Callithrix jacchus: one gene and its partners. The protein of the gene in region 1 interacts with the protein of each later gene in a pairwise test. Links are inferred from orthologs where the notes say so. Each region holds a gene or a part of one and is shown in the gene's direction. Other genes may lie near its edges.

Evidence for each region.
Region 2: the proteins of BAG6 (region 1) and TAC1 interact in a two-hybrid assay, tested with the Homo sapiens proteins (2 studies listed by BioGRID and IntAct). The link is inferred for Callithrix jacchus from reciprocal best matches to the Homo sapiens genes BAG6 and TAC1.
Region 3: the proteins of BAG6 (region 1) and REG1B interact in a two-hybrid assay, tested with the Homo sapiens proteins (2 studies listed by BioGRID and IntAct). The link is inferred for Callithrix jacchus from reciprocal best matches to the Homo sapiens genes BAG6 and REG1B.
Region 4: the proteins of BAG6 (region 1) and KLHL12 interact in binary tests that used the Homo sapiens proteins (3 or more experiments, as listed by UniProt). The two-hybrid records come from large-scale screens. The link is inferred for Callithrix jacchus from reciprocal best matches to the Homo sapiens genes BAG6 and KLHL12.
Region 5: the proteins of BAG6 (region 1) and CDKN1A interact in a two-hybrid assay, tested with the Homo sapiens proteins (2 studies listed by BioGRID and IntAct). The link is inferred for Callithrix jacchus from reciprocal best matches to the Homo sapiens genes BAG6 and CDKN1A.
Region 6: the proteins of BAG6 (region 1) and RNF126 interact in binary tests that used the Homo sapiens proteins (3 or more experiments, as listed by UniProt). The link is inferred for Callithrix jacchus from reciprocal best matches to the Homo sapiens genes BAG6 and RNF126.
Region 7: the proteins of BAG6 (region 1) and SPP1 interact in binary tests that used the Homo sapiens proteins (3 or more experiments, as listed by UniProt). The link is inferred for Callithrix jacchus from reciprocal best matches to the Homo sapiens genes BAG6 and SPP1.

Annotation. Positions count from the first base shown.
Region 1 is NC_133505.1:39,139,988-39,142,490, reverse strand, and holds the end of BAG6 (large proline-rich protein BAG6), read left to right. Parts: intron 1-123; coding exon 124-270; intron 271-360; coding exon 361-420; intron 421-536; coding exon 537-680; intron 681-761; coding exon 762-869; intron 870-1,390; coding exon 1,391-1,537; intron 1,538-1,817; coding exon 1,818-1,913; 3' UTR 1,914-2,003; downstream 2,004-2,503. UniProt on the Homo sapiens protein: ATP-independent molecular chaperone preventing the aggregation of misfolded and hydrophobic patches-containing proteins.
Region 2 is NC_133512.1:51,899,510-51,903,587, reverse strand, and holds the start of TAC1 (protachykinin-1), read left to right. Parts: upstream 1-1,278; 5' UTR 1,279-1,550; intron 1,551-1,787; 5' UTR 1,788-1,796; coding exon 1,797-1,919; intron 1,920-2,893; coding exon 2,894-2,990; intron 2,991-3,458; coding exon 3,459-3,503; intron 3,504-4,078. UniProt on the Homo sapiens protein: Tachykinins are active peptides which excite neurons, evoke behavioral responses, are potent vasodilators and secretagogues, and contract (directly or indirectly) many smooth muscles.
Region 3 is NC_133515.1:34,054,084-34,058,104, forward strand, and holds the start of REG1B (lithostathine-1-beta), read left to right. Parts: upstream 1-1,221; 5' UTR 1,222-1,256; intron 1,257-1,549; 5' UTR 1,550-1,595; coding exon 1,596-1,659; intron 1,660-2,274; coding exon 2,275-2,393; intron 2,394-2,697; coding exon 2,698-2,835; intron 2,836-3,555; coding exon 3,556-3,667; intron 3,668-3,874; coding exon 3,875-3,942; 3' UTR 3,943-4,021. UniProt on the Homo sapiens protein: Might act as an inhibitor of spontaneous calcium carbonate precipitation. May be associated with neuronal sprouting in brain, and with brain and pancreas regeneration.
Region 4 is NC_133520.1:29,968,763-29,972,944, reverse strand, and holds the start of KLHL12 (kelch-like protein 12), read left to right. Parts: upstream 1-1,382; coding exon 1,383-1,556; intron 1,557-3,032; exon of another isoform or gene 3,033-3,592; coding exon of another isoform or gene 3,593-3,712; intron 3,713-4,182. Other genes in the region: transcription and mRNA export factor ENY2-like, read right to left, coding at 1,373-1,396. UniProt on the Homo sapiens protein: Substrate-specific adapter of a BCR (BTB-CUL3-RBX1) E3 ubiquitin ligase complex that acts as a negative regulator of Wnt signaling pathway and ER-Golgi transport.
Region 5 is NC_133505.1:44,980,705-44,984,975, forward strand, and holds the start of CDKN1A (cyclin-dependent kinase inhibitor 1), read left to right. Parts: upstream 1-1,471; 5' UTR 1,472-1,586; intron 1,587-1,726; exon of another isoform or gene 1,727-3,392; intron 3,393-4,271. UniProt on the Homo sapiens protein: Plays an important role in controlling cell cycle progression and DNA damage-induced G2 arrest. Involved in p53/TP53 mediated inhibition of cellular proliferation in response to DNA damage.
Region 6 is NC_133523.1:625,004-628,964, reverse strand, and holds the start of RNF126 (E3 ubiquitin-protein ligase RNF126), read left to right. Parts: upstream 1-1,161; 5' UTR 1,162-1,254; coding exon 1,255-1,329; intron 1,330-3,961. UniProt on the Homo sapiens protein: E3 ubiquitin-protein ligase that mediates ubiquitination oF target proteins. Depending on the associated E2 ligase, mediates 'Lys-27'-, 'Lys-29'-, 'Lys-48'- and/or 'Lys-63'-linked polyubiquitination of substrates.
Region 7 is NC_133504.1:109,664,866-109,667,165, reverse strand, and holds the end of SPP1 (osteopontin), read left to right. Parts: coding exon 1-192; intron 193-886; coding exon 887-1,291; 3' UTR 1,292-1,800; downstream 1,801-2,300. UniProt on the Homo sapiens protein: Major non-collagenous bone protein that binds tightly to hydroxyapatite. Appears to form an integral part of the mineralized matrix. Probably important to cell-matrix interaction.

The DNA of each region.
Region 1 (2,503 bases):
AAGGTTTCCATTCTCTGCAGTTGTCATTTTTCTTTTCTAAACTGACATTCTGTATTCTGGATCTGATGTATTCCAAAAGGTGGTTGAGGGTTTTGTGTTCTAAATCTGCTTTCTGCCCTTCAGCGTCGTATGTCTCGTGGGGTGAATCCCTCCTTGGTGAGCTGGCTGACCACTATGATGGGACTGAGGCTTCAGGTGGTACTGGAGCACATGCCCGTAGGCCCTGATGCCATTCTCAGATATGTTCGCAGAGTCGGTGATCCCCCCCAGGTAAGGGACCTGATGGGCTATGGGGTTAGGGGACTTGAGAGAACTGGAGAGATCTGAGAGGAAGTATGTTGTTCTCCTTTAATTTCTCAGCCACTTCCTGAGGAGCCAATGGAAGTTCAGGGAGCAGAAAGAGCTTCCCCTGAGCCTCAGGTACTAGGCAGAGGGAGTGATTGAGGGGCCAGATAATGTGGAGTGGAGGCCTGGGGGAGAAAGGTTTGGAGGCTAAGAATTCTGAAGCCTGGCTCTTCCCGCCACCTGCCTTCCAGCGGGAGAATGCTTCCCCAGCCCCTGGAACAACAGCAGAAGAGGTCATGTCCCGAGGTCCACCTCCTGCTCCTGAGGGGGGCTCCCGAGATGAACAGGATGGAGCTTCAGCTGAGACAGAACCTTGGGCAGCTGCAGTCCCCCCAGTAAGTGTCAGGAAGTGATCCAGTGGGTCATGGCAGCTGAAAGTCATGGGCACTACTACTTTCTAATCTTTTCCTCCCCAGGAATGGGTCCCTATTATCCAGCAGGATATTCAGAGCCAGCGGAAGGTGAAACCGCAGCCCCCTCTGAGTGATGCCTACCTCAGTGGTATGCCTGCCAAGAGACGCAAGGTTTGTTTTCCTCCTCCCCAAGCCTCTCTTTGTCCAGGTTTTCCTGTCATGCCTGGAATCAGACTATTTAGAGCTGGTAGGAGCTGCTTCTTACTCAGTCTCCCCTCATTTAATGAGGCAACTTTTCTGGGATTCGGACTTGCTCTTGGTTGTTGGATAACCATATAGGACTTTACCTTAGTGTTTGCTAGCCATCCTGTTAGTTCCTCAGCTGCCTAATCCTCATGTGCCTAGATCCCATTTTCCTTTAAGGTGGGTTTCCTCTTGTGGATTACCTAAACTCTGAATCCCATATGGCTTGACCCCTTCTGCCTCTCGTTTTGAAGAGCACATTCACTTCGGTTTTGGCTAGAGCCAGAGAATTAGGAAGGCATTTCAGCTGTAAAGACCACATCCTGGACTATGTTTCCCCTCTCTCCACTAGCATGGAGACTCAGTGGTTGACTCATGGAAAGGGTGAGCCGATGGTGGCACTGGATCTGACGTTGATCCTCTTTTCCCTCCCAACCCCTATCCCCCAGACAATGCAGGGTGAGGGCCCCCAGCTGCTTCTCTCAGAGGCTGTGAGCCGGGCAGCTAAGGCAGCCGGAGCTCGGCCCCTGACGAGCCCCGAGAGCCTGAGCCGGGACCTGGAGGCACCAGAGGTTCAGGAGAGCTACAGGCAGCAGGTGCCCCCACCTTGAAGCAGAATAGGGATGGTCTAGTGGGAGGGGTTGGGCTAGGGTCCCTCTCCCCTGGATCCCTTCAGTTTTGAAATGGTCAGCCTGGGGCTACCACTTGTTTTCCCCTTTGGCATCTATCTGGGAAGGCTTGGCGATGCCACCCCGGGCTATTTGACAGTGTGCTTGGTGGGGGAAATGTTAGCTTCTGAGGGATGGCCTTGTATGCTTGCTGGGATCATAGGGACTTGGCTAGTGCTTCTCCAACCTGCTTGCTTTTTTTCTCTAGCTCCGGTCTGATATACAAAAACGACTGCAGGAAGACCCCAACTACAGTCCCCAGCGCTTCCCCAATGCCCACCGGGCCTTTGCTGATGATCCTTAGCTCTTTGCTCTGTTGCCCTTTCTCACCAGGAGACCGTTTCCCCCCTCTTCCTTCACAGTATTTAAGAAATAAAAGTCGGGTTTTTCTGGCTGCTTTCTCTCTTAAGTCGCCTGCTGATTAAGAGTGTAAGTCCCTTAATCTTGAGTGAACTTGTTTTTCAAATTAATACTCCCTTGGAGTACCAGAAAGCCTGTAGTATCTCCGCATGAGCATAACAGACACTACGTTCTGTGCACCTAGCATTTGATACTAAGATTTTTGTGCAAAAGCACTTTAAACAAAAGACCTGTACTTTTAGTTGGGAGCATATGCTAGGTGCACACTAGGGTAGAGCTCTCAAATTATCCAGCAAAGTTTCTGAGCAGCTGCAGACCTAAATATAATCTTAGCATAACTAGCATGCAGTGTTACCATGTGAAATCTCAGTTTAACAATGCTGGAACTGGTCTATACAATTCAAAGAGCCTCTTATTAATGTGCTCCAACACGGAGGCCTTAACAGAGACTTCCCCTTAGTTCATCATAAAGGACCAAAGTCCCATGACTGCAAATTCTTTGCTAGTCCCTTTGAGATACTACAGCTGATGTCC
Region 2 (4,078 bases), on another chromosome or scaffold:
TTCCATATAAAAAGTTTTGAAAATAAAAACTAAAATGCTCACATTGTGAGGCTAAGGCCTAAAGAAATGAGAAATGCATGAGAATTTCCAAATTCAGGGTTATTTAAGAAAGAACAACATATATCAGAGAATAAAGTTACTTGAGTTACAAAAATTTATTTTCTTTATGCAATTTACTAAAAAAATCATAATTGAAAAGTATAATACTTTACAAGTAAAGGGAAGAAAATAACGCCACCAAAGATGCCACATCATCTAATTCATTTAGAGATCAGTGTCTGCCAGGCACCCACAAGCTCATGGAAAGCTGTGGTTTCTGTACAAATGCTATTTGTCTAATAATTTCATGCTGTTAATGATGGCCCCGTTAGCATCTTCACTACTCTTACTTTCATAGAAAGGAGAAACATATGATTTGTAGAGCCCTTTAGTGACAAGAGTGAGGATCCTATACACTATATTGCTGGTTTCCTAGTCTTCATTAAGAAAGTGTAGGAGAGAAGCAGAAAAAAAAAAAAAATGTCCTGTTCCAGCCCCTGCTCCTGGATGTGGCAAGGAAGAAGACTTAGCCAGCTTGGAACGAAATAAATCATACCCACGATGCCATGTTTAAATTCCCCTTTCTCCAAAATGTAAAATCAATCTGCTTCCATCTTCTAGAATACTGTGAGACTAAACATCCTTTTGAAATGCGAAGGAAATTCACGTTGATTTGGGAGAGGGATGTTCTGGTCATAGAAAGATGCTGTGTCTCAGAAACACATATTCTTAACTAGCAATAGAGGGGAAAATAATGCCTCCCCTATCTCCCCTCCACTGAAGTCCTTTCCTAGCCTGATTTTTAAGAAATGTCTTAATGCCTACAGTTATCTGGCCACCCTCAAAAGTGCAACTTATCCTGACGTCTAAAGGGACGGAAAAGTTACGGAAGTCCAAGGAATGAGTCACTTTGCTCAAACTTGATGAGTAATCTCAGGTGTCTTGAAACCAGTTCGGAAGGAAAGGGGAGGGGGTATCAGATCTGCAGACGGAAGCAGGCCGCTCTGGATTGGATGGCGAGACCTCGATTTTCCTAAAATTGCGTCATTTAGAACCCAATTGGGTCCAGATGTTATGGGCATCGACGAGTTACTGTCTCGGAAACTCTCAATCACGCAAGCAAAAGGAGAGGAGGCGGCTAATTAAATATTGAGCAGAAAGTCGCGTGGGGAGAGTGTCACGTGGGTCTGGAGGCTCGAGGAGCCTGGGATAAATACCGCAAGGCACTGAGCAGGCAAAAGAGCGCGCTTGGACCTCCTCCTTTCCGGCTGCAGCCACCTAGAGTGCGGAGCGACCAGCGTGCGCTCGGAGGAACCCTGAGTCCCGCGGGACTGTCCGTTGTAGTAAGTGCCCGCGCTGTGCCGGCCACGGTTGCCGGGCTCACCCCGCCGCACATCTGTCCGAGGTGGCCGCTCTGGGTGCGCGCTGCTGCGAGGGGCAGTGGGGAGACTGGCTTCCCAAACGCCAACGCCCCTCTTTGTCTTCCACCTGCAGAGCCTCCCGGTTTGAAGGTGTGGGTTGGTGGGTTTGGGGGCTGGGGGAGTTGGGTTTCAGGGAGAAGAAGGTTGGAGAATCTTTGGGGCACGATTATCTTGCCTAACGGGTACAGGCGAGACTTTAGTCCTTATGCTTTTGATCTTGGCTCATCCGTTGTGGGGCAGAAAATTCTGCTGCCCTAAGTCTCGGATAACCACCCCTAATATATACATTTTTTCTCTCTTTGGTCTCTTCACCCTACCCCTTCCCAGATATCCAACATGAGAATCCTCGTGGCCTTGGCAGTCTTTTTTCTCGTCTCCACTCAGCTGTTTGCAGAAGAAATAGGAGCCAATGATGATCTGAATTACTGGTCCGACTGGTCCGACAGCGACCAGATCAAGGTGAGGCCCCTTCCTAGGACGGCCCACAGCCTTCTCCTTGAGCTCCGGAGCTGTCACCTTCCCACGCAACAGTACCCTAGTTAGCCTGGCAGGCCCCGCAACCGCGATGAGAGGCAACGGATGCGTGCGGGAGGATGGAAAGGGGCGCTATTTGCCGGGTTCCTCGTGGGGTTTTGCGCCCACGATTCAAGTTTCTTCCCGAGGGCTGCACCATCCGGCCCAGAAACTCCCTGAAGCAGGGATGCCTTCCCGGATGAGCCCGAGATCCTCACTAGGCAGGAAATCTCATGAGGTTTCAACCCCTAGGAAAGGGGATTTCGGGGGCTTAGGTCCAACTGCGCTGCCCTGGGCAAGGGAAGAGGAGGGCGCCTTGGTCGCGGGCAGCAGCGGGCACACGCGCGAGCTGCAGGGGCATTGGAGGGCCGGAGGCGGGAGGGAAGTTAATTTCCTGCCTTCGCATTTGTTTTGCGAACCTGAGGACGTAGCTTCAAGTTTCCGTTTAGAAACTTGTAGCTACTGGCGCTGGGGAGCGCGCCTCGGGAAAACTGTGAAAGACGTCTGTAAAGCGTCATCACCCTTCCCCACCGCAGCCCCAACCACAGATCACACACACCTGTGTGCATTTAGGGCGCTTAGGACTCTCCAAAGCCGGCACCGACACAAGACGGAGTCGGTGGCTGCGCGGCAAATGAGCGCAGGACCCCAGGCTGGGAGGAAAGAGCGGAAAGCGCTCGAGGCTTGAAGACGCAGCGCCAGCTGCTAATTCGGCCTGGCAGGCTTGGGGGAGCAGGACGCGAGTTCGGAGAGGAGGGGCACAGAGAGGGAGCGCCTCGGGAGGGACCCCGCTCAGCCCGAGCGTGGGGAAGGCTGCCTCCCCCCGCCTCGGGGCCGGAGTACCGCGGGAAGGGCTCGGTTTGCTGGGCGCCTCGCTCCGGTTGCCTTACACGCCCTTTGTCCGTGCTTCTGTCCCCCAGGAGGAACTGCCGGAGCCCTTTGAGCATATTCTGCAGAGAATCGCCCGGAGACCCAAGCCTCAGCAGTTCTTTGGATTAATGGGCAAACGGGATGCTGGTGAGATGGGCGACCGTCCCTAGATCTCTTAGGCAGCCCGCCCTGTCTGCTCACTCCTTCCCGGGGTACCCTAGGGTCTCTCTCTCTGAGTAGAGACTTCCACCCCAAGAGTGGTGTAATTCCCCAGGCGCGACACTGGCCCGCACCGCGCCAAGGCACGCACGGGCCCGCGGAGGGAGGGAAGGATCTGGTTCGCAAGCCTCACTCTATTCGAGGGAGGGAAGGATCTGGTTCGCAAGCCTCACTCTATTCGAGTGAAGCGCTCCCTTGACTAAAGATCCAAACTGACAAAGGGAAGGCACGGACCTCCGGGAGACAGTACTGCGAATGATCCAATGCATGTGGAACAGGATTTTATAGCATTCTCTGAGGTGAGGGTAGATTTGTCTTGGGATAGAAATATTGTTTCCTTGAATTCATCGCACCATCAGTGGAACATGTAGTTAATGACAATTCGTCTCTTGTCAGATTCCTCAATTGAAAAACAAGTGGCCCTGTTAAAGGCTCTTTATGGTAAACATTCCTATAAATCTTTATTTTACTATTGTGAAAGCACATGTAGGAAAGTGAAATAAAATATTGTGTGGGCTGAAATACAGGATCTGGATCATGCCTGTTTAATAAAGAGATGGATTTGCATACCCTCTCTCTCTGTCTCTCTCCCTCTCTCTCTCTTCCCCGCTCCTCTCTCCCTCCCCCTCCCTCTCCCTCTCCCTTTCCCTCTTTCTCCTTTTCACTCTCTCTCTCCCTTTCCCTGTCTCTCCCTTTCCCTCTCCCCTCTTCTCCCTCCCTCCTCTCTCTCTCTCTCTTTCTCTCTCTCCCTCTGAATGGGTGCTCAGCCTTGAAGGTGGGAGCTGTTACAGTCTTACAGTTAATAAGAGGCCTCAAAAGTCTCATAGTCCTATGTTGAATCCCATAGAGGGCACTTAATAAAATTCCATTCGTTTGTTTAAATATTTAGTTTTTATGATTAATAATTTGTTTAGCATTTACGATTCTGCTTTATTCCTCAGGATAACAGAAAATGTTACATATTTTGAGAATCAAATTATTTTATAAAAGATATAATGTAGCATCTTTAAAAACAA
Region 3 (4,021 bases), on another chromosome or scaffold:
TATGTTATTTAGCCATTTATCCCAATTGATATAACCATCTCTGTTTCTGTGAACATTTTGGTTAGTTTTTCAACTGAATTTTTAATTCCAGATTTGCTCTTATTCCCTGAATCTGAATGGATATTTAATGGGAATTTCGGTAAGCATTTAATTCTACATCACCTGCTGTAACTTCACAACAACAGAGAGTTGACTTCAAAGCAACAACTTTATATTCCACTGCTTTGAACTTACTTAGGTATCAGCTCCCTGCAGTTCCCACCTGCTTGGACTTTGAGAACATTGGTATCATGCTAGTTAGTCATGCTCAAACCTTGCTGGAAATGCTGGTTTAAATTTATGTAACTACTAACCATTGTAATATGGTGTGGTTCTGTGTCCCCACCCAAATCTCATTTCAAATTATAATCCTTATAATCCCCATGTGTGGAGGAAGGAACCTAGTGAGAGGCTATTGGATCATGGAGGTAGTTTCCCCCATGCTGTTCTCATGCTAGTGAGTGTGTTCTCACAAGATCTGATAGTTTTATAAGGGGCTCTTCCCCATTCACTCTCTCTTGCTCATCTGCTGCCATGTAAGACCTGCTTTACTTCCCTTTCACATCGATGATTATAAGTCTCCTGAGGCCTCCCAAACCTCAGCAAAATCTGTGAGTCAATTAAACCTCTTTTCTTTTTGAGTTACCCAGTCTCTGGTAGTATCTTTATAGCAGTGTGAAAATGGACTAATATACCTTATCTTCTGAAGGAGGTCTTGAGAGATTCCTGAGCCTGAAAATGAATGGAGAAATGACTTAAAGCCACCAGCTAATTGGGCTTAATCATTTGGACTCGGTTGACTCTTCCCCTATCCTTACCCATGTCTAAAACCAAAAAAAAAAAAAAAGGATCCCATATTTATACAGCACAAAGAAATCTACTCTTCTGTTCTTTCTAGGACTACTAAAGGCCATGGGAACTGGACACCTGGATGCTATGGAGGAAGGGCAAACAAAGCCTGACATCAACCTGGACAGTTTGCCAACCTCTTTATGGTAAGCTGATGTCACTTGTGACTACTCCTAGTGTATGCCAGAAATAAGCTATTCCTGATGCCAGAATCTCTTACCATAAGTGCCCTCTGTAGGCCTTCTGACCCTTACTCCTTGCTCCACCCATAGTTAATATCACGGGGTTCTCTCTCAGATCCTGATATAAAGCTCCTACACTGCCTGGCCTGACAAGCCACCTCAAGTAGACAAGACACTTACCAATAGGTAAGCGGTCATTAGAGAAGGGCATGTGTAATATGGGTTTTTCTGTTTCCATTTTGAGGTAGATACAGGGTGATTTTCTGTATCCCAGTAGTAATGAAGCTTAAGCAAATTACCCAAAGCTGATCTTGGGTAATTTGGCCTGTATAATCCCCAAACCAAAAGAGAAATAACTGTGACTGTAGCTATCTCAGAGGACCTTCCTACTCTCAGGAATTCAGAGAGGAGAGGGTGTTAGAAAGATAATAGGTGCTCTGCTTTCTTCTTCAAACTCTCTTCCCTGTGTTCTCCTATAGAGATTGCTGATTTGGTCCTTAAGCAAGAGACTCACTGCTGCTCAGCATGGCTCAGACCAACACATGCTTCATGCTGATCTCCTGCCTGATGATCCTGTCTCTGAGCCAAGGTGAGATTTTCCCTCACACCTCTCATACCAGCCCTGAAGTCTGCCTTCCATCCTCATGCATATGGGTTCACTTGAAAAATAGCAGTGTCAGCATCAGGGGTTGTTTCTGTTGTCCAGTGATCGTTATCGCTGATCTCATCCCATTCAAAAACACCCTCATTTCATTCATGTGTCTGAGACAGAATTTGATAGGATCACTTACAGGTGACCCTTGTGGTTGAGTTCATCTGATTGAATATATATGTGATGGCAGTTTGGGGGATGTTTTTATGTAGATATTGATAGGATGGAGAGCTAAGGTAAATATTGCATGCAGGGAAACCAAGAGAAACTTGAGAGAGGTGAAAGCCTGAGTCTTTAAAGGCAGAAGCCTGAGCCTCAGAAATAAAAAAGAAAACAAGGAAATATTTATTTAACCTATTTATTGTGTGCTCTTCTCTTGAGCAAAGGAAACTAGAGCGAAAAGAGATAAGATGCAGGAGGGCAGAAGTGAGCAGTCACCCCAGGATACACTGTATCAGTATATTCTTATAAATGAACTTCAGAAGCTCTTAATTCACCTTTCAGCCTTTCCTTGAGCTGAGAGTCTTTAATTGACACTTTTTCCCCCCGCAGGCCAGGAGGCCCAGACAGAGCTGCCTAAAGCCCGAATCAGCTGCCCAGAAGGCACCAATGCCTATGGGTCCTACTGCTACTACTTTAATGAAGACCTTGAGACCTGGGTCGATGCAGATGTAAGTGAGGAGAGCAGTGTGGGAAGGGAGGCTCATGAAGGTAGAGGCAGCTGCTAGTTTACAGTGCGTTCAGTGGCTGCAATGAGATAAGACTGATCCCTTCCCTATTCCACCACTGGTCCAAAACTTCCCCAATCTACTTTAGCCCATCATTTGACACATTTCCAGCACAGAGATGCTGGTGGTCAGTGACAGCATCATCAGGGACGTTTCTGTGATGTCCTTTTCTGTTACAACCTCTGGGAGGTCTCAGTACATCCTTCATACCTTCCTCCTCCACTGAGTGCTACATTTTCTTCTCCAGCTCTACTGCCAGAACATGCATTCAGGCAACCTGGTGTCTGTGCTCACCCAGGCGGAAGGTGCCTTCGTGGCCTCACTGATTAAGGAGAGTAGCACTGATGACAACAGTGTCTGGATTGGCCTTCATGACCCCAAAAAGGTCAGTCTGCAGTCTCCTCTGTCTCCTTATAAACATTTTTGAGAGGTAAGAGGGATATTTAAGGTCTGGCACCACGAGCGCCAACTTGTATCTATTTTGTTTGTTTGTTTTAATAAAAGGAACGTCTTTATAGCTCCTATAATGTATGAGTTGTGAGGTTCAGTGTAGATAGTTAGAGACATGAGTCGAAAGTTGAACTTTCTGGGCTCATGGGAATTCATGCACAAACTCACTCTGTCTACTTCTAGAAATGCATCTTTATGTACAACTTTTTCCCTACTTTGCTATTGTCTTTCTTGGAAGAGACCCCTCTGAAAACTACCACAGAGAAAGAGTAGTGGAAGAGAATCTATTGCTGACATTTGGAACTATACTGTTAAAGTAAATAATATATCAACAGCTACTGTACAGCCAATTTTATGCTGGATATGACAGTTCTGAGCTTCGGGGAAAAATCAGGAACTACTCTCTGGGACTTTTATGAGTCTGTGTATCAAACTCTGGACACTTATTGTTTGCTGGAAGAGGAGGAGGAATTTGGACATTCCAGAGAAAGAGAAACTTAAAGCAAAAGCAAATGGAATAATATGGTATTCATAGTGATAATAATGTTCATTCTTTCCCCTGTACTTTGGCCTGTTTCTGAGTGTGCAGAGAGGCCTGGTTGTTCTATTGATTTTCCAGTGACCATGGTCCCTTTTCTGGCCCTTCTCAATCTAGAACCGCCGCTGGCACTGGAGCAGTGGGTCCCTGGTCTCTTACAAATCCTGGGAAACTGGAGCCCCAAGCAGCGCTAATGCTGGCTACTGTGCAAGCCTGACTTCACGTTCAGGTAAGAGGCAGAGAGTCTATCCCCTTGTTGCCATTTCCCTCCCACTTATCTCTGCAGTTGAACATGGGGACTGGGATAGAGGAAAAATTTATTTCCATCCAGAAAATAAGGGAATGTTTCCTCTTGTTTCTTGTTCTGAGTCCTAGGTCGAAGAGGGGCTACCCTCCTTCTGATCTTCTCATTCTGACTCTTCTAATTGTACTGTAGGATTCAAGAAATGGAAGGATGAATCTTGTGAGAAGAAGTTCTCCTTTGTTTGCAAATTCAAAAACTAGAGACATCTAAAAAATGGACGTCTAGAACTGGTGGTCCTGCAATTACTATGGTGTCAAAAATAAACAAGACTCTTTCTCC
Region 4 (4,182 bases), on another chromosome or scaffold:
CCCCAAAGAAACCAATGTTACCACTTTATTTTGTCTTTCCAAATACAGTTTACACACACAAGCAAATATGAATATATCTTCTACGTTTTATTTTTTGTGGGGGGGATGAGTTTCCCTCTTGTTGCCCAGGATGGAGTGCAATGGCATGATCTTGGCTCACCACAACCTTTGCCTCCTGGGTTCAAGCGATTCTCCTGCCTCAGTCTCCCAAGTAGCTGGGATTATAGGCGTGTGCCACCATGCCCTGCTACTTTTGTACTTTTAGTAGAGACGGGGTTTCTCCATGTCGGTCAGGCTGGTCTCAAACTCCTGACCTCAGGTGATCCGCCCGCCTCAGCCTCCCAAAGTGCCGTGATTACAGGCGTGATCTTCCACCTTTTTACCCAATAATAGAGAATACAGATTGTTCACAGCTTCATGGTATTGGATTTTATGGATGTACTATATTTCATTGAATTGGTCCCCTACTAATGGACATTTAACGTTGTTGTCAATCTAATCTACAAACAATGCTGCAGTTTGTACATATGTAGTACATATCTTTTACATATGTAGTCTTACATGTGCATGTGAATAATTTTATTAAAATTGACAAATATTTCCAAAATGCCCCCAATAAATTTTATAACAATCTTGCATTCTTCTCTACAATGTGGAAGTCAGGGACAGTTTTAGACAAGGAAAACACGACATGGAAGATGGAGATGCAATGTAAATTTAGAATGCTGCCCACTTGGCTATGGTTTTAGTATCCTTAAGAATGAAAGGGCTGGGCGCTGTGGCTCATCCCTGTAATCCGAGCACTTTGGGAGGCTGAGGAGGGTGGATCACGAGGTCAGCAGTTCAAGAGCAGCCTGGCCAACATTGCAAAACGCAGTCTCTACTAAAAATACAAAAATTAGCTGGGCGTGATAGTGCGTGCCTGTAGTCCCAGTTCCTGGCGGGGCGGGGCTGAGGCCGGAGAATCGCTTGATCCCGGGAGGCAGAGGTTGCAGTGAGCTGAGATCATGTCACAGCATTCCAGCCTGGGCAACAGAGTGAGACTCCATCTCAAAAAAAGAAAGAAAAAGGGGGCTCACAGAAGAAAATAGTATTACCAATTTGTTGTCTAGACATTCAGATAAGTTGAACCAATTAACCTCTTTGCCTTTTCAGACACTAACTGCACCAAAATCAGTTAGAAGCGAACTTTCTTAAATTAACCTTCAGCAACCATAGCCTGGTGAAATGTCAGCAGGGGAGTAACAGTGGTGATAAGGCTGTCTAAGATTTCCCTAAGAAGATTCTTTCCAATTTCCCTCTTAATGTCCACCTTGTAGTGGCCACAAGTTCCTTTCACTTAATTGTCTTGGAGTGAAAGAAGTAAAATCACCTTAGTGGTGATGATAAGCCCCATTATGACGCAAAGTATATACGAGGTCTGTGGATCGCAGGGCTCAGAGGATTCTTGCGCAGCGTTGTTCGGCCCCAAGAGGTCATTGTGGACAATGGAAGGGAAGAAATTTGAGGCCTCCGTGGGTTTTCTCGATAGCAAAAAGTTCCTCAGTACCTGGAAGGTAAAACGCACTTCCTGCATTCAGATGTTTAGCATATTAAGCCTTAGAATTCTCTCCGTCTGCTCTGCCTCCTGAGCGGTGGGGAGGGTCTCAGGCTCATTCAATCGCCAAGCTGTAGAGCTATATTCCCAGGCTTCCTGCGGACCCCACACCACCCAACCGTCCGTCCTTCCTTCCATCTTTCCTTTCTTCTATCTTTCTCTCTCTCGCTCCCTCCTTCCTTTCTTTCTTTCTCTTTCTCTCTTGAGAGTCTCACTCTGTCGCGCAGGTTGGAGTGCAGTGGTTCTGCTGCCTCAGCCTCCTGAGTGGTTGGGATTACATTCGCACACCAGAACGCCCGGCTAATGTTTTTGTATTTTTAGTAGCAACTGGGTTTAACCATGTTGGCCAGGCTGGTCTCGAACTCCTGACCTCCAGTGATCCACCTGCCTTGGCCTCTGGGATTACAGGACTGACCACTATGCCAGCCCTCCCCCCGCCCCCCCCGCCTCCCCCCCCGCCCCCGACAGGGTCTCATTCTGTGGCCCAGGCTGGAGTGCAGTGGCTGTCAGGTCTCCATATGCAAGCCTGGAACCAGAACGTCTGAAGTCCTGCCTGCTGCCTGCCTCTGCTAATTGTCTCCCACCCCACCGCCTGCGTTGGCCATTGTCCCTAATCGCCCAGCAGAGCTTCCCCGGACAAGCCCCTCACCCCACCCTGCCATCTTAACTGTTCTTATGTTAAATGTGGATACCTCTCACCCCATCCTGCCATCTTAACTGCTCTTATGATAATGTGAATGCTCCTTGCCCCATCCTGCCATCTTAACTGCTCTTCCGCCTTACTCAACCCGCCATTGTAACTGAACTTGTGGTCATGTATACTCCTTGCCACTACCCCCGACCACTGTAACTGATCTTACTCTGCAACACCCTCGCCCCCCAAAATTACCCCAACTTATAGAACCAATTCCCACCCTTACTCTCTTCGCCTTTCTCAGATTCGGTCCGCTTGCACCCAAGCGAGAAATAAAATGTCCTTGTTGCCCACACAAAGCCTGTTTGGAAAATCTCTATATTAAATGCATTTAATTTTCGGTATTATTAGACGTGAATAACAGTGGCGATCCTGGCCCACGGCAACCTCTGCTGCCTGGGTTCAAGGGATTCTCCTGCCTCAGCCTCCGGAGTAGCTGGGACTACAGGCGCAGGCCACCACGCCGGACTAAATTTTTTTTTAAATTTTTTGGTGGAGACGGGGTTTTGCTGTGTTGCCCAGGCGGGTCTGGAACTCCTGAGCTCAGGTAATCCGCTCGCCTCAGCCTCCCAAAAGTGCCGGGATTACAGGGGTGAGCCACCGCGCCCCGGCCACCTGACCTTTTTCTAATTCGGCTTCATAGCAGTTTACAGAAGTCCCGCCCCCGATAAGGCAGGTCACGTGACACCGCCTCATCACGTGACGCGGACTCTGCGGCGGGAGGAGGGCGGTCCTCACGCTGCATTGCGTCATCACGTCGCGCGGCCGCGGGGTCCAGACCCGAAGGCTCCAGAGCCTCCGGAGCCTCCGGGTCTGGGCGGCGGCGGCGGCGCTTCGGCTCCTTGTGAGCCGCCTGCTGGCCCTGCGCCCCACCCTATCCCCACAGGCTGGGGACAGGCCCGGCGCGGCTGTGTGGGCACGGGAGCTGAGGTGAGTTGCGCGGAAGTGATGGCAGTCAGTCTTTCCCTTCCTGTCCATCAACTCCGGGTTATGGCCCTTCCCCCATCCTTGGTCTCCCTGCAAGGGAATCGGAGGCTCGCCCTGGATAGGAGGAAGGCTGCGTGGGGCGTCTGGCCTCGGTCGCCCTCTCATCTCTCCGCATACCTCCACCTGGCGGTGCTGGTCATATGTATGCCTGCTGGTGTCAGGGGGAAGGACTTCGTTTCTTTCTCTAGAATTTAGTCTTTCCCGAATGTATTGCCCCTCCCCTGCCTCGAATCTCCCGAAGTGGAATCCCTCTATTCAGATGTTAACGGAAGTTCTAGAAAATAGGTCACTTCAGAAAGGTGAGAGTGAAGGATATGCTGAGACTTGGAGTGGTGAGGCAGGAATCCCCAAGAAGGAAGACCACTTTGCACCAGGGTTACTGTCATTTTGATGTGGAAACGACAAACCCCCCTCCCTCCCAGATTGTCATCAAGGTAAATAGACATTTGTTTCGGACCCTTTTTACACCCCTGGAGTTGAAATTAAATTGACTTAAGGCTTCTTGAAAAACATCATATGCTTTGATGAATCACCTGCTTTTCTGTAAAATTGGTCTTGCAGAGTTGTTGGAGGGATTATCTATGGTGCTTGTAGTGTAAAATGCCAACTATAAACATAAGTAAATGAGAATTTAAGATCTCATTTTTCCTATTGAAAAATTGTGAGTTGTGGACTTTTAGAGACCGTCGTTTGATTCCCAACCTTGGATCATTTCAGAAAGTTTTGGATTCCAATATTGATTCGTTAACAGTAATTGACATTTACAGATGTAGAGTAGGAATACCTTCTTGTTGAAGAGCTTCAATAGCTTAAGCAAGTAAGTCCACTTGGGTGGTTTCCACAGTTCATTGTAGGTAATGGGTCCTCAATTGGTTTTTTGTTGTTGTTGTTGCTGTTTTTAATT
Region 5 (4,271 bases), about 5.8 Mb from region 1:
AAGCATTTACTCAATGTAGCTGAAAAGATCAGGAGGATGACATTAATAAATAAAAATCCATATATAATAAAAAATGATGTGCAAAGAATTATTTCATTGTGAAGCCCAATACTACAAAACTTTATAATTCATTACAAACCTTTATTAAAAAAAAAAAAAAAAAAAAGGCTTGGGGCATGCCTGGGCAGAGATTTCCAGACTGAGCAGCCTGAGATGTCAGTAATTGCAGCTGCTCCAAGCCTGGCTCCTATTTTTTAGTGGGATTTATTTTCAGATTAACAATCCATCCTCTGCAATTTTTCAAAGCAAAACTGCACATGTTTCAGGCACATAAAGGAGGCAAAGATGAAGTCCAAGGGAGGTCAGAGGTATGGGGTAGACGGGAGCAGATAGACACGTTACTCATTTCTGTGTCTGGCAGAAGCACCAGTAGACACTTCCAGAATTATCCTTTATTTATGTCATTTCCATAAACTGTCTGCAAATGAGGGTTATTGGGTATTTTTGTCATTCTGGAGCCACAGAAATAAAGGGTGACAAGCACAGAGCCTTGGGCAGGAGGCAAAAGTCCTGTGTTCCCACCATAGTCATTTCTTTGCTGCATAATCTGAGTCAGGTCACTAAACTCTTCTGAGCCTCAGTTTCCCCAGCAGTGTATATGGGCCCTGTGGGGAGTATTTAGGAGACAGACAACTCACTCATCAAATCCTCTGCTTCCTAGCCAACAAAGCTGCAATCACAGAGTTCTTCTGTTGAGGTGAGTGTACGGTGTACGGAGATTGGTTCAATGTCCAATTCCTCCTCGGTTTTCTGATAGTGTCTCCAATTCCCTCCTTCCCGGAAGCATGTGACAATCAACATCTTTGTATACTTAAGTTCAGTGGACCTTCAGTTGCCTCATCTGTGAAATAAAGGGGACTGAAAAATCATTCTGGCCTCAAGATGTTTTGTTGGGGTGTCTAGGTGCCTCAGGTGTGTCTGGGAGAGGTGACCTAATGAGGGATCAATGGGAATAGAGGTGGTATCGTGGGGCTTTTCTGGAAATTGCAGAGAGGCGCATCGTTTTTATTATTTATGGATTTTTATTTACGACTGTCATCCTCCTGATCTTTTCAGCTGCATTGGGTAAATCCTTGCCTGCCATAGTGGGTCAGCGGTGGGCCAGAAAGGGGGCTCATTCGAACAGCGCCCTCCTGGGGAGTGCCAAGTCATTCTCCAACTAAAAAAGGCCAAATTTGAGGCTCACTTTGTGGGAAAAATGTGTCCAGTGTACCGACGCACGTTAGAGACAACGGGAGGAGGGAAGCGCCCTCCTGCAGCACGCGAGGTTCCGGGACCGTCTGGGGCTGCTGGAACTCTGCCAGGCTCAGCTGGCTCGGCGCTGGGCAGCCAGGGCCCCGGGCCTGGGGGAGGGCCGTCCAGGGGCGGCGCGGTAGGACGAGCGCGGGTCCCGCCCCTCCTGGGGGTAGGTTATATTTGCGCCCGCAGAGCGGCACCAGTTGAGGTGTGAGCAGCTGCGGGAGTCAGTTCCTTGTGGGGTCAGAGCTGAGCGCGGATTCGCCGAGGCACCGAGGCACTCAGAGGAGGTGAGGGAGCGGCGGCAGCCAACAGGGGACCCCAGGCCGCCGGCCCAGAGCCGAGCCGAGCGAGCCTGCCTGTGTCCGTGGGTGTCGCGGGGATGCGTGTCCGCGGGTGTGCGCTGCGTTCACAGGTGTTTCTGAGGCAGGTGAATGACGGGCGTGGGTCTGTGCCTGCTCGGCTTCCGCATACGGTGTCTGTAAAGTGCTCGGGTGACGGGGATCGGGATGTGCCGGAGACTCCGGGCGGAGAGCGGGATTACAAGTACAGGGATCCCGGGCCACGCTCCCCGCCCCTAGAAACCCAGCTGGGGCGAGGGAGGGCGTAGACGGGGCCGCTCTGGGAGCTCGCCTTCCGCAGCGGTGGGCTCCAAGCCCCAGGTGCAGTTTGCTCCTGGCGTGGGAATGAAGTCCGTGTCCCTGGAGGGGTCCAGGAGGGGCGAGGAAAGCGGAGTGGAGTAAGTTCGTCTGGGATCGGTCCCGGGCGGTTTTCGGAACCAAGCGGCGCCGCCCTGGCTCACGTCCCGGGGTTCAGGTCCTCTACGCCACTGTGTCCACCACCTGGCTGGGCGCTGAGGTAAGTGCGAGCAGTTTCCTGGCCCTTGGGAATGTGCCAGGACACGTCCCCTAAGGACAAGCGAGGAGCTGACTCATTGTGACAAGGAGACCCCAGGGAACGGACTGTATAAGGTCAGAACTTCGCCCGGGCTGGGGTACAGTGGGAACCCAGAAGCCCCCTCCCTGTCCCTTCAGGTCTCGCCCTCCCATCAGCACAGTGACCAATTTGGCTGGCACAGCGTGTTCCCAGGGAAGCCGGGCACTGGAGGTCCAGGTCGCCGCGTCTGATCCCCGCTCCGCGGCGCGCCCTAGGGGCCGGGGAGTCAACGCCCTGCGCTGGGCGGGCTCTAACCAGCCTGTCAGTCGAGGAAGGGCAGGGGTCTTCTCTACCTCTTTACCACCGCGGCCGGGAGAACCACGGCCCAGCTTGTCCTCGAGTCGGGGCGCTGGACTCCCGGGCAAGAGCGGAGCCTACGCCTGAGTGGGAGGTGGGGAGAGATCCTGTCTTTGCGGCGTTGGTGGCGTTTCTGGGGGGCACGACACTGCTCAGGGCCTCCATCAGCTGCCGCGGGGGCTCGGGGTGCCCCGACCTAGCCCAGATTCCCTCTCCGAAAGCGACAAGACTGAGCGGAGCAGCGGGGTGAGCGCCGCCGCCGGGCGCGGACCACGGCACGTCCTCTCAGTCCGGAATCCCCGGGGGACACTTGCGCCCTCTTAGTGCAGAAAAACATCTAGGGGATGGGTTTGGAACTTGGGGCGCCTAGACAGCTTCCCGTCTCCTTCCCTCGCTCCACGTCGTGTTTTTGGGAGAACTTCCGAGAGATTTTGTTTTCGTTGCTCCCGTCTATTTTTATTTTCCAGGGATCTGACTCATCCCGTGCTTTGGGCGTGGAGATAAGGTGGAGGGGCCAGCTCTCGGCGCGCGCGCGCGTGTGTGTGTGTGTGTGTGCGCGCCCGCGCGCCCGTGTGTCTGTGTCAGAGACGGCGCAGGAGCGCGCGGTTTCGCAACAGCGGCGGGAGTTTTGGAAGCCTGGCCTGCCCAGCGTGACGTGTTCGCGGCCCTCCGGTCCCCTCCCATTCTCCCTCTCCCCACCCCAGTGTGACGCGCAGCCGGAGTGGAAGCGGAGTTTTGGCGGGGGCGGGCAGCGCCTTGCGGGAAACTGACTCATCGCTACTCCCCCGCTGTCCAATGCTCTGCCCACGTACCTCCCACCCCGCGCGTGATTTCCTGGAGGCCGGCGCCCCCTCCCGGCCCTGGTGAGAATGGCACACCCGCTTTCCCGCGGAGTGGGGCTGGCAGGCGGGAACCACCGCGGGTACTCCGGGCTCATCTGAGATCAACCCCTATGCCATTCACCGCTCCTTCAAAGGAACACTCCTTAGGTTCAACAGTATTTATTGAGCTCTTACTGGAAATTAAAGTATGACTGAAGTCTAAGGCAGGAAGGCCAACAAAGGAGGCTATTCTCAGTTATTTGTAGAACAAGGGTTTGCGTTTCTGAGTTTTCTTTGGGCTGAAAGTTATGACAATGCGCCTGAGAGCAGATTTAGATGGGGGAGGAGAGGCCTATGAGAGCCCTAAGGGAAGGGGTGGTAGAAGAGGAAAGGGTGCCTGCCTAGATCCTAGTCTTATCCTGAGCTCCTGAGAGCCAGGGAATATCCTTGATGGAGCCCTTCCTTGTGCCTCTGATGTATTGAGACCCAGAATGTCCATTTCAAACACACCAGTGTCCCCCTTGTCTGATACCCCAAGAGTGCCCATCTGAGGAACTGTGCTGAACACTTGCTTAAATCTTCAAACACCTACTTAAATCTTCAATCTGGATTAAGTTGGTCTCAAGAGGCAGGGCCTTGAAAAAGCTCCCTAAGTGATTTTTTTTTTTTTTTGAGACAGGGTCTCACTCTGTTACCCAGGCTGGAGTGCAATGGCACCATCCTAGACTCAAGCAATCTTCCTGTTTCAGCCTTTCAAGAAGCTGGGACCATAGTCGTGAGCCCCCATGCCCAGCTAATTTTTTTTTTTTTTTTTTGAGACAGAATCTCACTCTGTCACCCAGGCTGGAGTGCAGTGGCGTGATCTCAGCTCATTGCAACCTCCACCTCTTGGGTTCAAGCAATTCTCCTGCCTCAGCCTCC
Region 6 (3,961 bases), on another chromosome or scaffold:
GAATGTTGAGTGAATAAAAAAATAAATGCACGATTGGGCCAGAGCTGACCTCAGAAATCATCCTGCGCTGGGTGATGCTACTGTTTCTACTGCTTAATTTTCTTTCTAAAAAAAAAAAAAATTTTTTTTTTTTTTTGAGAGGGAGTCTTGCTTGCTCTGTTGCCCAGGCTGGAGTGCAGTGGCTGGATCTCAGCTCACTGCCACCTCCGCCTCCTGGGTTCAAGCGATTCTCCTGCCTCGGGCTCCTGAGTAGCTGGGATTACGGGTGAGCGCTGACACGCCCGGGTAATTTTTGTATTTTTAGTAAAGACAGGGTTTCATCATATCGGCCAGCCTGGTCTCGAACTCATGACCTAGTGATCCGCCCACCTCGGCCTCCGACAGGCGTGAGCCACCGCGCCCGGCCTCTACTGCTTAATTTTGGAAGCGGGGTTAGGTTTCCTGCCTCCTCCTCCCTCCAAAGGCGCCTGGGCATAAAACATCTTGGAAAGCAAGGCCGCACCCCACAGACCTCAGCCTCTGTCTGACCCCCGGGTCCCGGTGAGGCACAGCCGGTAGCCGAGTCCCCGGTCTGCAGGCGTTTCGCAGCGCTGATGGAACGCCTGCCGGGTGTCAGGCGCTACTGCGGGTGCGAACACCCCTTGGCCGCGCGGCTGGCCTTACAGTGCACGGGGTGGGAATCAGTGCCGCGGGGCAGGAGGGCGGCAGAGAAGACCCCGTGAGCTGACATTTGAGCAAAGGCCTGGAAGAAAGCCACGTGGGCGTCGGGGGAGGGGCACCGGGCGGGGTAGGGGGACTAGGCCGGTGCAGACGCCCGGAGCGGAGAGAGCGCCTGGAGAGCCCCGGGAGCAGTGGGGACAGGGGTCTGCAGTACCGTGAGGGGAGAGGACGATAAGGTAGGGAAGCTCCGAAGGAAAGGAGGGCCTTGGCAGGATTGAATGGCGAGGAGGGCTTCGCTCCTCGTCTCTTCCGCCGGGGCTTGGCCCCGCCCCTCCAGAACCCCGCCCCTCCAGAACCCCGCCCCCGCTCGGAGCCCCGCCCATCGGCCGGGCCTAGTTTGTCTCTCAGCGGCCACCGTCGCCCCGCCCGCCGCCCGCCGAGTGCGCAGCATTACGCCGCGCCCGCGTCCCGCCCCACGTGCCGTGCGTGCCGTGCGTGAGCGTGCGTGGGCGCGTCGGCCGGCGAGGGAGCCGCAAACGGCCGGCGGCGGGCGCCGCGCAGGGGGCGGGCGGCACGGAGTAGGCGGCGGCGGCCATGGCCGAGGCGTCGCCGCAGCCCGGACGGTACTTCTGCCACTGCTGCTCCGTGGAGATCGTCCCGCGCCTGCCGGTGAGGCCCGGGCCGGGGCGGCGGGCGGTAGGGTCTGTGCCGCAGGCCTGAGGCAAGGCCCGGGCCGGGGTGGAGGTCGCCGGTGCCCGCTCCTCGCGCGAGGTGGCCACGACGGGGAAACTGAGGGTGGGGACAGCGCCGGCCCAGGGTGGATCCGCGGGGAGCCCGGGCGGTGCGGGCGCGAACCCCGTCCTGCACATGCGGGAAACTGAGGCCCGGAAGGGGGGAGGCGGGGCCTGGCCGGGGCGGCGCAGCTGGGTCGGGTGATCCCACATCCTCTGCCTTCTCGATCCGAGAGGCCGCGGGGACCCCAGGTGGGAACGCTCCTCCGAACCCCGTGAGCCTGGTTCTGTAAAACGGAGAAAGTGAGGCCCGGCGAGCAGAGGGTATTGCCCAGGGGCGCGGTGCGGGCCACGGGCCGGGCCTGGCGGGGCGCAGACCCCGAGAATAACGCCAGGGGACCCCCGCCGAGCGCGCAGTCCGGGGCGCCCTAGGCTCGCCTCGTGGGGCCCTGGCCGCCGCCTGGGAGTCAGGCCCAGGCCCGGAAGGCTCCAGGCACCGTCCCGGGCTCCGACCGCGGCCCTCCGGCAGGGCTTTGTGACCCGAGCCTGCGTTCTTCCCTTCCCGGGGCTGGGTTGAGCAGCCCACCCTTTCTCGAAGTGTTTACAGCCACCCTTGGCTCAAGGGGACCCCGGGCCTGGGTGTTCCGAGTGTTACTTCCTGCTTATTTAGGGCGATGTTTCCCACGCGGACCTGATGTCACCTTGGGGGCAGGTGGGAGCGGTGCTCGTGGAACGTGCTATTTCCAGGCCCCTTCTCCGGGGTTTCGGAGTCAGCAGGTCTGGAACGGGCTCGGCAGTTGGCGTTCCTATTACTATTTTTAGGGACAGGGTCTCACTGTGTGGCCCAGGCTGGTCTTGAACTCCTGGGCTCAAGTGATCCCCCTGCCTCCCAACGCGCTGGGATTACAGGTGTGAGCCACCGTGCCCGGCGGTGGTCTGCATTTGTGACCAGTGTTTCCCTTTCTCAGGCTAATGTGGAAAGTGGTGATTTCTTTGAGCCACGCCTGCAGATGGGGAAACTGAGGTCCGTGGTGGCTCAGCAGAAAAGGCAGAGCCTGCTCAGTCGGGAGCTGCCAACTTGAGGGGAGCAGGTGCAAGAGGTGGAGCCGTGTCTGGACTCCCTACCCTGTGCCCACGGGAAGAGGCTGCAGGCGTTGAGGATTTTCTGTGCTCTCTCTGTGCATTACCACCCGGCTGTTGCTACGGTTTGACCCATTAGAGGCGCCCAAGCCCTCCAGAAGCAGTAGCGTTCCTTGGGAGCAGAGACCCCGGAAGGGGCTGGAGGGAGTCAGGAGAAGCAGCTTTCTTGGTCACGGAGGAGGAACCAGTGCTAGAGTTGGGGCATGACGGGAGAGCAGTGACACAGGCCAGGAGTGGAGAGAGTAGAGAGGTGTGGCTTCCTCTCTGCTGAAGCCACAGGGCTTCCCCTCCCCAGCAGGAGGAACAAATCAAGTAAAATCCTGGGTGTGGGGCGAAGATTAGGGAGCTGAGGCTGAGCCTTGTCTTGCTGCTGTGCCTCTCAGGGTTCTCACTCCTGCCCCTTCCTGTTTCCTGTGCCCCCTGGCCGTGGCAGAAGGGGTTGGTTGGCTGACAGACTGCCTGCCAGGGTGAGTTGTAGGGCAGCCCCTGACAGCTGTGTGAGCCCTGGGACAGGTCCTGGGAAGCCTGGAGTTGTGGCTGTTGGAGGTGGCTAGCCCTGACCTGTTGATACTTGGCTGCTCTGGGAGCCTGCACAGGGCTGGATCCTGGTGTGGTGGAGCCACTTCCTGGCCCTGTGGCCTCGGACAAGGAGGACCCTGACCTCTTCCGATTGTCACTGGGCCTGGGGAGGACCTTCTTTTAGTCATGGAAACTCAGTGGTGTCTGGTAGTCCTGGTCTTGGCTCTCACGGAATTTATAGGCTGGCCGGGGAGCCAGCATTGAACCGCGGCTGACAAATATTTGGTCATGAACGTTGGTAAACAAGTGCAGGGAGCGGGTGTGTGGGTGAGGGGAGTGCCTGTCTTCACCCTGCAGTGATCCCGAGGGCACCTGCTCGTGCCTTTGGAGCAGGACGTAACATGGTGCCAGTAGACAGTGTGGCGGTGTCAGGACTTCATTGTACAGGGCAAGACTCTGTCCCTACAAGACATAAAAACAAGTGGTGGGTGTCTTGTTGCACGCCTGGAGCCCCAGCCACTGTCGGGGCTGAGGTGGGAGGAGCGCTTGAGTCTGGGAGGTGGAGGCCGCATGGAGCTGTGACGGTGCCACCGCACTCCAGCCTGAGTGACGAGCAAGACGCTGTCTCAAAAAGAAACAAAAACGGATTTTCTGTGCTGGGAGTTGGGCGCACCTGTTCTGGGGCAGGAAGGCTGCTCCAAATCTGGTGATGGGGAAAGTCCCCAGCCACCACCAGCACCCTCGAAATGGGCGTCTCTGCCGGTGGTGAGCTTGCCCCGAGGCTGAGTCTGAGGTGGCGCCACTGCTGCTGAAACACCTAGGCTGGTGTCAGGAAGCCCCTACGGGCCTCTGACCCGGAGGCCTGCCGGGGCTGAATGCCTGTGTGTGGTGGCTTCTCCCAGGCAGCTGGG
Region 7 (2,300 bases), on another chromosome or scaffold:
TCTCACCAGTCTGATGAATCTCACCATTCTGATGAATCCGATGAACTGGTCACTGATTTTCCCACGGACCTGCCAGCAACTGAAGTTTTCACTCCACCTGTCCCCACAATAGACACATATGATGGCCGAGGTGATAGTGTGGGTTATGGACTGAGATCAAAATCCAAGAAATTTCGCAGATCTGACATCCAGGTAAATCCTTTAAAAGACATATCTGATGGTTCTGACTAGAGCTCAAGTCTAGGAAACCATAGTTTGCATATTCATTCATTCATTTGTCCATTCATTCATCCATTCAGCAAGAATTCATTCATATTCTACTTCATGATCAATGAATACAAATCTTTTTCTATTTGGTGGTTTTTGTAAGTCTACATAATTCCTCTCTAGATTGGATTCCCAAACACAATTCTATTTTTTCAAATCCTGAATCACTTACTTTTAGATTTAAAAAAATGGAAAACACTAATTATTTTAAAAATATAATGGTCATGTTTTCAAGTTAAATAACTAAGAGGAATTGTAGAGTTGCAAATTACACTGAATCCTTAGTCAGAGAATCTGGATTTGACATAGACTTGCCATTTACTATTCTCTTTACTTTTTAACTTCCAATTCACTTCCTCTTTATGTGAAACAGATATAATCAAACCTATCTCATAGGTTTCATTACATAAGTAAGTGATGTACTTATTAAACTAAAGGAGATAACATATGTGAAAGGGCTTGGTAAAGTACTATACAAAGTAACATGCTAATATTATTTCAGGAAGATTTAGACAATTTTTAGTACAAGATGGCCTAAATGTTAGAGAGCAGAAAAGGATTACCATATTCCCATCCCTAGCTGTTCATATAATTCTTCTTCATTTGTGCTGTGATTCAGTACCCTGATGCTACCGAGGAGGACATCACCTCACACGTGGAAAGCGAGGAGTTGAATGGTGCATACAAGGCCATCCCTGTTGCCCAGAGCCTGAACGTGCCTTCTGATTGGGACAGCCATGGGAAGGACAGTCATGAAATGAGTCAGCTGGATGACCAAAGTGCGGAAACCCACAGCCACGAGCAGTCCAGATTACATAAGCGGAAAGCCAGTGATGAGAGCAATGAGCATTCAGATGTGATTGATAGTCAGGAAGTTTCCAAAGTCAGCCGTGAGTTCCACAGCCATGAATTTCACAGCCAGGAAGATCTGCTCGTTGTAGATCCTAAAAGTACGGAAGAAGATAAACACCTGAAATTTCGCATTTCCCATGAATTAGATAGTGCATCTTCTGAGGTCAATTAAAACAAGAAAAAATACAATTTCTCACTTTTCTTTTAGTAGAAAGAAAAGATGCTTTATAGCAAAATGAAAGGGAATATGAAATGCTTATTTCTCAGTTTAGTGGGTGAATGTGTATCTATGTGAATCTGGAAATAACTAATGTGTTTGATCATTAGTTTAGTTTGTCATAGAAACTCCCTGTAAACTAAAAGCTTCAGGGTTATATCTATGTTCATTCTATAGAAGAAATATAAACTGTCACTGTATTTTAATGTTTGTTATTCTTTTATGAATAGAAATTTATGTAGAAGCAAACAAAATACTTTTACACACTTAAAAAATAACATTTTATGTCATTATGATCTTTCATTTTTTAAATTAGTGTATATTTTGTTGTGATTATCTTTCTTTTGTGGTGTGAATAAATCTTTCATCTCAAATGTAATAAGAATTTGGCGGTGTCAATTGCTTACTTGTTTTCCCACACTTGTCTAGCAATTAATAAAATATAACATTTTTTACTGCCTATGTAACATTTTTAAAGCTTTATTTTGGTTTTAATTGATACATAATAATTGTAGATATTTATGGGGTACTGTGTTGATGTTTTGATACATACATACACTGTATAATTATCAAAGGGTAATTATCATATCCATCACCTCAAACACTTGTCATTTCTTTGTAATGAGAATATTCAATCCTATGTTCTAGCTATTTTGAAGTATATGATACATTATTATTGACTCTAATCAACATACTGTGCAATAGAATACCAGAATTTATTCCTCCTAGCTAACTGTAACTTTGTACCCATTGACTAACCTCCCCCATCGACCTTCCTACTCTCTCTCCTGCTGGTAATCACTATTCTACTCTCTACTTCTATGAGGTCAACTTTTCCAGATTCCATATATGAGTGAGGTCATGTAGTACTTGTCCTTCGGTGCTTGGCTTATTTAACTTAACCTCCTCTAGGTTCACCTATGTTGTCAAAAATGCCAGGAGAAAACATGCACAAACTATGCAT